Kluyveromyces lactis: one gene and its partners. The protein of the gene in region 2 binds, or shares a complex with, the protein of the main gene of each other region. Links are inferred from orthologs where the notes say so. Each region holds a gene or a part of one and is shown on either strand. Other genes may lie near its edges.

The links. The genes of interacting proteins can lie anywhere in the genome.
Region 1: MGE1 (region 2) and PAM16 share a complex: the UniProt entries of both Saccharomyces cerevisiae proteins name them as parts of the PAM complex. The link is inferred for Kluyveromyces lactis from reciprocal best matches to the Saccharomyces cerevisiae genes MGE1 and PAM16.
Region 3: MGE1 (region 2) and PAM17 share a complex: the UniProt entries of both Saccharomyces cerevisiae proteins name them as parts of the PAM complex. The link is inferred for Kluyveromyces lactis from reciprocal best matches to the Saccharomyces cerevisiae genes MGE1 and PAM17.

What each region holds. Positions count from the first base shown.
Region 1 is NC_006042.1:1,282,865-1,285,354, reverse strand, and holds PAM16 (import motor complex subunit PAM16), read right to left. Parts: upstream 1,078-2,490; coding exon 658-1,077; downstream 1-657. Other genes in the region: transcription factor HAP4, read left to right, coding at 2,108-2,490. UniProt on the Saccharomyces cerevisiae protein: Essential component of the PAM complex, a complex required for the translocation of transit peptide-containing proteins from the inner membrane into the mitochondrial matrix in an ATP-dependent manner.
Region 2 is NC_006040.1:623,735-626,466, forward strand, and holds MGE1 (mitochondrial nucleotide exchange factor MGE1), read left to right. Parts: upstream 1-1,372; coding exon 1,373-2,104; downstream 2,105-2,732. Other genes in the region: mitogen-activated protein kinase kinase MKK1, read left to right, coding at 1-1,015. UniProt on the Saccharomyces cerevisiae protein: Essential component of the PAM complex, a complex required for the translocation of transit peptide-containing proteins from the inner membrane into the mitochondrial matrix in an ATP-dependent manner.
Region 3 is NC_006037.1:561,483-564,041, forward strand, and holds PAM17 (Pam17p), read right to left. Parts: upstream 1,249-2,559; coding exon 658-1,248; downstream 1-657. Other genes in the region: SYP1 (Syp1p), read left to right, coding at 1,665-2,559. UniProt on the Saccharomyces cerevisiae protein: Component of the PAM complex, a complex required for the translocation of transit peptide-containing proteins from the inner membrane into the mitochondrial matrix in an ATP-dependent manner.

The DNA.
Region 1 (2,490 bases), on a different chromosome or scaffold from region 2:
TCATCAGTAGTGGTTAGTACTATCTCAAGATAATATTAATACACATATACACCATAGAAACCTACGGTTTCGGTTATCTCTTTTCTCAAGAAGTTTTTCCTAGGTTTCTTCGGAGATCTAGGAACGGCTTTAGTTAATACTGGAGAAGAGTGACTGTTACCATTTTTTAACCCATAGCTGAATGGATCCTGACTAGCCCCAAACAAGCTGGCCACAGTTTCCATTTCGTTTCCGGTTTCTTAGATCAATAAAGTTGGAAGCGCATTGAGTTGGGAGGGGAAGTCTCTTCCTTTTCCCGGTTTTTTGCATCACTTCTTTCTTTTAACCATTATGAAGAGGTCTGGAAAGTGATGATTAGAAGCGGTTTAACAGCTCGCTCTAGTTGTTCTTCCAGGTGTTGCATGTGATCCAGAGGGCTTTGCGTAATGGCTGCCTGAGAGTTTGGATTTTCACTCTCCGTTGTGCCCTTCTTCATGATGGAACAGTTTTCCCATCTTCTAGAGAATTTTTGTATTAATTAGTTGTAGACATAAATCAGCTTCATCAACCACTGATGATATTGTGCTGAACATGATACGATGAGCATGCGATGCGTGTATTTCGGTTTATTTGAACTATTTACAAAACTTATACTAGGCCAGAGAGAATGACCTTACGCTATTTTTTCAACTCCGGTGACTCCGTCGTGGAACTCGACTTCGCTTGTTCTTGATTCAGTTCTGGATTGGCAGCCTTTTCCTTTTCAGCAAGCTCGTACTTCAAACGCTCTGCTGCCCTGTAAATCTTACTCTGCAAGTAGAATGATCCACCTTTCTCTTTATCGTTGATCTCGAACAAATACTTGAATCTTTCGTTGATTTTATCCAAATTCATATCCTGTTCATTCTCAATGTTCAAAATCTTAGAACTCTCATCTAAAGTGATACCTCCGTATTCTGCGCTAGCACCACGGCCTCTAGAAGCATTTGCCGTTTGTTTAGCTGTTTGAGCTGCTGCTTGTCTGTAAGATTCCGCAAACGCACGTCCAAACACCTGTGCCCCGGTGAAAATCACCTGTATAAACGCTCTGTGTGCCATATCCTATAGTCTTGTTGTATTTCTTGGATATGCGCAGTTTACTCGAACTGGAACGGCGTTCTTAGACAAAGCTTAGAAGTTAATCCGATGAGTAGTTTAGTGTTTAATGCTGTTATTAGTTCCAGTTCTTTCTGTTCTCAACTTTTCGATGACTTTTCGAAAACAGAAGGGGTTACCCGGGGATGTCAAGACCAGCCCCACATATTTGCTGTGACACCGTCAAATAACTATATATCTGGTTGACAGCTATGCCTCATTAGAATGATTTAGCTAGTCTACAATGACTACAGATGGAGTTTGTAATTGCATTCGCTCATTCAGGCTTTTTATAGGGTATTTTTATGAGGTTTTAGCTTCTCATTCCACATTGTAGAATGTGGCATCGGAAACGACGCAGGTATCAAGAAATTAAACGATAGGTGATCCCAGCAACAGCAGCTACGCTGCTGTTGCATTGATTGGGGATGTGAATTCAGCATGCTAGTACTAGCGTAGTACTGTAACGGGGAGGAGGGGGGGGATCCAGTTTGGGAGCGTGGCTTTGTATCTGGGGTCATGGTCACGTGATCAATTATTAGCAACTCAACACCCAATCCCCATTTCAAACTTGAGATACCTCTTAGTACTCAGGCCATACTATCTTATGGCCTGAGATATATAAATTCATGATGGCTCGTCTTGATGTATCATGCCCTCATTTTTACCATTGTTCCCCCTCTCTCTCTCTCTCTCAATTTCGGTTTAAATTGAAAAGTTGAGTAGTTAATTCTACCGAAACAAACGACTTCTCCGAAACTAAAACAGGTTCTAACAGACACACAAGGACTCAACAAGCGTGATTCAATCGTATCGCAGGTGGTTCAAACTAATTTAGGTTGCATCTCGCCGTAAGGTTTTTGTATCCTACTTTCAAACGCATACTTCGCAACTCTGGTTACGGCTCCGGTTCCGAACCAGTTAATATTGTTTTCGCTGGTCCGGAGAGAATTCTATAATAAAAGCACTTCAGACACAGAGTAAGAATTAACTAATGTCCAGGCCAGTTTCATTGGAGCCCCTTCACGGACACACTGGGCCTCATCAGCAGATTACAATTGCTCCTAATTTACAGCCGAAGAAACATGAGAAACCCACTGGGATCACGATTCGAACGTCTAGGCACTGGGTTCTTCCACCGAGGCCTAAACCGGGTAGAAAACCCAGTCCTTCTTTATCGATAAAGCAGCAACTGGCAAATGTCAAGGGTATGGCTGTAGAGTCCACTACGCCTGCTTCTGCTTCAAGTACTAATGCCAAGATTAAACAAGAACCTGTGGAATCAGTGAAAGAAGTTGAGAATTTGAGACCGGGATCGAAAAAACACTTGGCTGCCACTGTTATTGATTCTGGTAAAAGTTGCTCTTCTTCTGATCA
Region 2 (2,732 bases):
AATATCCATGTACGATAGCGAACCAACAACAAGCAGCAGCACAAGCCTGGTAAACCATGGGAAAGAAAGTGAAATTATAGAGCACGATAGAGATGATAGCACAGATGAACTTGAGTCAGATATATGGCAAACTTACAAGATCCATGAACAAATTGATACGTTGGGAATATTGGGCGAAGGAACTGGAGGATCGGTCACGAAATGTAAGTTAAGGAACGGTTCAAAAATATTTGCATTGAAGACCATTGCCACGATAGAGAATGATGGCTCAGAGAAACAAATATTCAGAGAATTGCAATTCAACAAGAGTTGTAAGTCTGATTTCATAGTGAGGTATTACGGGATGTTTGCATGCGAAGAAACCTCGACAATTTTTATTGCGATGGAATATATGGGCGGAAGATCGCTAGATTCGGTGTACAAGCACCTTCTCTCTAAGGGGGGACGAATTGGTGAGAAGGTTCTGGGGAAGATAGCTGAGAGCGTACTTAGAGGACTATTTTATCTACACGAAAGAAAGATCATTCATAGAGATATTAAGCCACAGAACATATTGTTCAACGAAATAGGACAAATAAAGCTCTGCGATTTTGGAGTCAGTGGAGAGGCAGTGAACTCTCTTGCCACCACGTTTACAGGAACATCATACTACATGGCTCCAGAAAGGATACAGGGCCAGCCATACAGTGTTACCAGTGATGTATGGTCTTTGGGTCTCACACTATTGGAAGTTGCACAGGGACACTCACCATTTGATACGGATAAACTAGCAGCAAACATGCCCCCTATAGAACTTTTGATGCTTATCTTGACTTTCACACCTGAATTGAAAGATGAACCAGAACAAGGCATAGTATGGTCCAAATCCTTCAAATCGTTCCTTGATTACAGTCTGAAAAAAGATTCAAAGGATAGACCATCTCCAAGACAAATGCTACAACACCCCTGGATGGTGGGACAAACCAAGAAACACGTTAACATGAAGAAGTTTATTCAAACTTGTTGGGCGGATTGATTGCTAGCCCCTACTGGCCCACTAGATAGAACATGCAGGAACATGTATAGATAAATCATTTCTCAAATGGCTGCATGTCACGTGTTCCACAACATAAATCGGATCAAGTTTCAATTTTTTCATAGAGTTTGGTTTGAATTGAAAAAATGATCATGAAAGAGAGAAAGAACCGTATATAAGAAGACATTTAAGAAGAAAGAATTAGTAAAACAACCCAATACATCTTACATACCAACTGTCACTACCTCTTATTGACACTCAGTTGGATTTGAACTCACTTTGTTTTGCTAAATAACCACTGTTAATAGTGAGACTCAAGTCGACCAGAGAATATTTACTAACAGAATACAATAAAATATGAGACCATCAACCAGATTCTTGAGAAGCGTTACCAGAACTGTTCCAATCGGTTTCAGATCTACTACTGTGCCATTTGTATCTAGCACTTTGAGATCTAGTGCTGCAACCTCCAACCAGTTTTCTGCTAGGTTTTCCGGTGTTAGATTCTATGCTGATGAAGCCAAGAAGGAAGAACCTAAGGATGAGAACGATGCAGCTGCAGCTGAAGAAGACGCAAATTTGACTGAAGAGCAAAAAAAGATTAAAGATTTGGAAACCAAGTTGGATGCCAAGACTAAGGAAGCCTCTGAATTTAAGGACCGTTTGTTGAGATCAGTTGCTGATTTCAGAAATTTGCAAGAAGTTACCAAGAAGGATATCCAAAAGGCCAAGGATTTCGCTTTGCAAAAATTCGCCAAGGACTTGTTGGAATCCGTCGACAACTTTGGCCATGCTTTGAACGCTTTCAAACCAGAAACTCTGGAACAATCTCAAGAGCTTTCTGATCTATATACCGGTGTCAAGATGACCAGGGACGTTTTCGAAAAGACTTTGAAGAAGCACGGTATTGAACAACTAAATCCAATTGGCGAATCTTTTGATCCAAATAAGCACGAAGCTACTTTCGAATTGCCTCAACCAGACAAGGAACCAGGTACCGTTTTCCACGTTCAACAAATTGGTTACACTTTGAACGACAGAGTTATCAGACCAGCTAAGGTCGGTATTGTTAAGGACAATGAAAATTAGAAAATCTCTCAATAAAGAACCCCGAACCCAAAATCGATCTACTTCAAATGACCTTACCATGACTTATAATTTACGATAATGCTTGTTTTATGAACCTTCTAACTTTTTTTCCCCTCCTCACTCCATTTTTCTTTCATTCTGCATGATAACATCGATCAGCTTTTGAACGGAAAACATCTCTTTTTGTTCGCAGCAGGTTTGACTTTTATGTTCCCTCATAACGGTCATAATGGTCTCGCCACAATGACCCTACTTAATTCCCATGTAAATAAACTTGCACATATGTATATGAATTCTCTACCATGATCCAAAATGAAAGGACCTTTCTTTCTCTTATTAAAACGGTCTGTCATCCGTTAAGGTACGTCCGAGAGCATGAACGAAACGCATAAGTAAGAACATCCAACCCCTGCAGGCTCTACATCTTTAGTATACTCTGAACTCAATCTTCCATCAGCCACTCCACCCAAAACGGTATCTATATGAGCCCTCAAATCCTCAGAGGAAGACATATCAGTATCTACTGTTTACATTCTGGCTCTACGCCTAAGTCTACATGTAATGAAAAGAAAACAATAAGAGAACTGTCAAACTCCCCTTCCCCAGAAGATTCAAGGGGTATACAGTA
Region 3 (2,559 bases), on a different chromosome or scaffold from region 2:
ACACTGCGCTGGAATATAATAAATTGAAATGAAGAACTACTCCCAATTTAGTTGAACTACTAACAGTATAAGAACTGGGTGTGTGGCCGAGTGGTTAAGGCGCCTGCTTCAGGGACAAGAAATGAGCATGCGGACTCAATGCGGCATCAAAACCGTCTCCGTCGCTTTCCAATTGACACATTCTGCTTTACCTTTGGGGGGGCCAAGAAAATTGCGATAGCCGTTTCCTTAAACCTTTAAACAGAGGTTTTCTACGCAGTTTTGTGCGAGTTGTAAGGGGCCTGGTCCGAAAATCAAAAATTTGTGGGTCCTCCAGAAAATCTTCACTGATTGCTTGGCGGCTATTGGGTGCGGGTAGAGCAGAAGTGGATTGCGAGTGACGGACACGGTTACCCGGAATATGCAGGTCTGTTAATGTTAACAGGCGCGAGTTCGAACCTCGCCGCATCCAAATATACTTTTTTTTGTTGGGTATCGATCCTTTTCATTCCGGTTTCTCTGGCATATACCATTACGCAATTGCTAATGCTGATTTAACGAATGTTTCTTTAGATATCAACCACTATTTATTATTTACTATTTACTTGTACTTACGGAAAGGCGTTTCCTTGGGTGGGAGAGTGATAGTCATCATACTTTTTCTGGTATTTTTCCGCTTCACAAGAACTCACTAGCCTTTCTTTTGTAAGAATGACAATCTCTTAGCCATTGTCTGTACTGTGGTATCGAATTAATCTTTTCACCGTAGTAATCCGGCACAGGGTTACTGAAAGATTGTGATTGAGGATTGACTCTGTTCTTTTGGATTTTGGCCAAAAATGAAAGTTGCTTCTCTTGAAACTGTAATAATTTGGGACCGGAAGTGGCCTTAAACAATGCAGTACCCACAATTGGTCCCAATAACCAACCAACAGCAGCACATGTGATCATACCAGCAGTAATTGCCATTAGTGGATCGAATCCAAAGATTGTTTGAGTTGGATCGATTTCCAAAGTGGAGAAGTAAAACCACGAACCGTTAACGAATACTATGGCTGTCGCAACCGAAGAAGCCGTGTTGAAAACACGTTCTTTTTTACGTAGCTTGAAGAATTCTGGCCATGTCATTTCATGAGAAGCTGTCTTACCAGCATTAGTGCTATTCATTCTGATGGCAACGGCATTGCGTGTAACGGCTCTTTTCAAAAGAGATTGTCCATTTAGTCCAACCAAAAGACGGTTCTGTAGATTGATTCCTAGTCTCAACATAGTTTGGGCTATTTTTCCGTGGTATTTGGTTCTTATTGCCTCTGATATCCGAGTATACTACTTATCGAGTAACACAGCAGAAGAATTGGCTGTTTGATGCTAGTTCAAACAGGTGATCTGGATCCACCCCTCGAACATTCCTTATTGAAATCATGTTATAAGCTCATTTGGTAGCTTTCCAAACTTTTTTTTGGAATTGACAAGCTTCAATATCCACGTCCGGGTAATGAAAGTACCGCTTTTTCCAATCTCTTGATCAAATGGTGTTATATCTCGAATAGATCTTCATTTGATACAGATATATGTTACGTCCGTTCATCATTGCATGATACTTTCACTATTCTAAAGCTGTCTATTATAGTTATAGGTTATATTGTTTGCCTTGCACGTCTCAAAAAGTAAGTCTTTCTGTTATAATGTCTGATGTTCTAGCTTTTGCAGAAATAGTGCAGGGCTATATTCAATCGCTAGAAGAACTCAAAGAGACAAAATTCGATAGTAATAGTGAATTGTTCTCTGAAGTGTCCCAGGAACTTGTCAGATCCAAGGAATTACTGCTACAGTTACAGGAGAGGGAGAATATACTGAAATTGAGAGAATCAGGACCAGATTCAGAGTCACCACCATTACCAGAGATTAATGGTGATATAGTAGAGACTTTGTCATGTGTTATCACAGACGATAATATAACGAACGTATCACTTGTTGGCGAAGTTGCCATCAATGGTACCAAGTGGGATCAAAGAACGAGTGATTTGTATATGAAATTCAATAATGTTAGTTCCGTTAAGATTAACGACACATTCCTGGAGCCAGTGGATGTGGTTCAGAATATATACAAATTGAAACGTGAACGCGAATGGGACAACGTGGTTACAGGATTAGTGAAATATGCAGTGACAAATTTACCACAGGTTCAATGTCCGATTCTAGTGACACCCGTATGGCAGTTCAAAGAGGCCGAGATCATCTCAATGATCAATTTAAGACCTTTAATTCCTGTCAATTATACACTATTGAAAGTTTGTATAAAGATAGGCACCAAGGCCCAAGATATTTTATCTAAACCTACTGGATTTTATAACCAAGTGGATGGTACCATCCAATGGGATCTGCCCATGCTGGAACAGGATCAGATTCTGATTTTGAGATATAAAGGTGGACAACGAACCGATGTTGTCACATCTCAAGCAATTGGGCCACCGCATGTTCGTATAGATTTTACCGCATCACAGCTGTTGACACAGGTTAACGTGGAATACGGATATTCACCAACCAGATTAACGGACCTGCCGTTAAACGTAATGACTA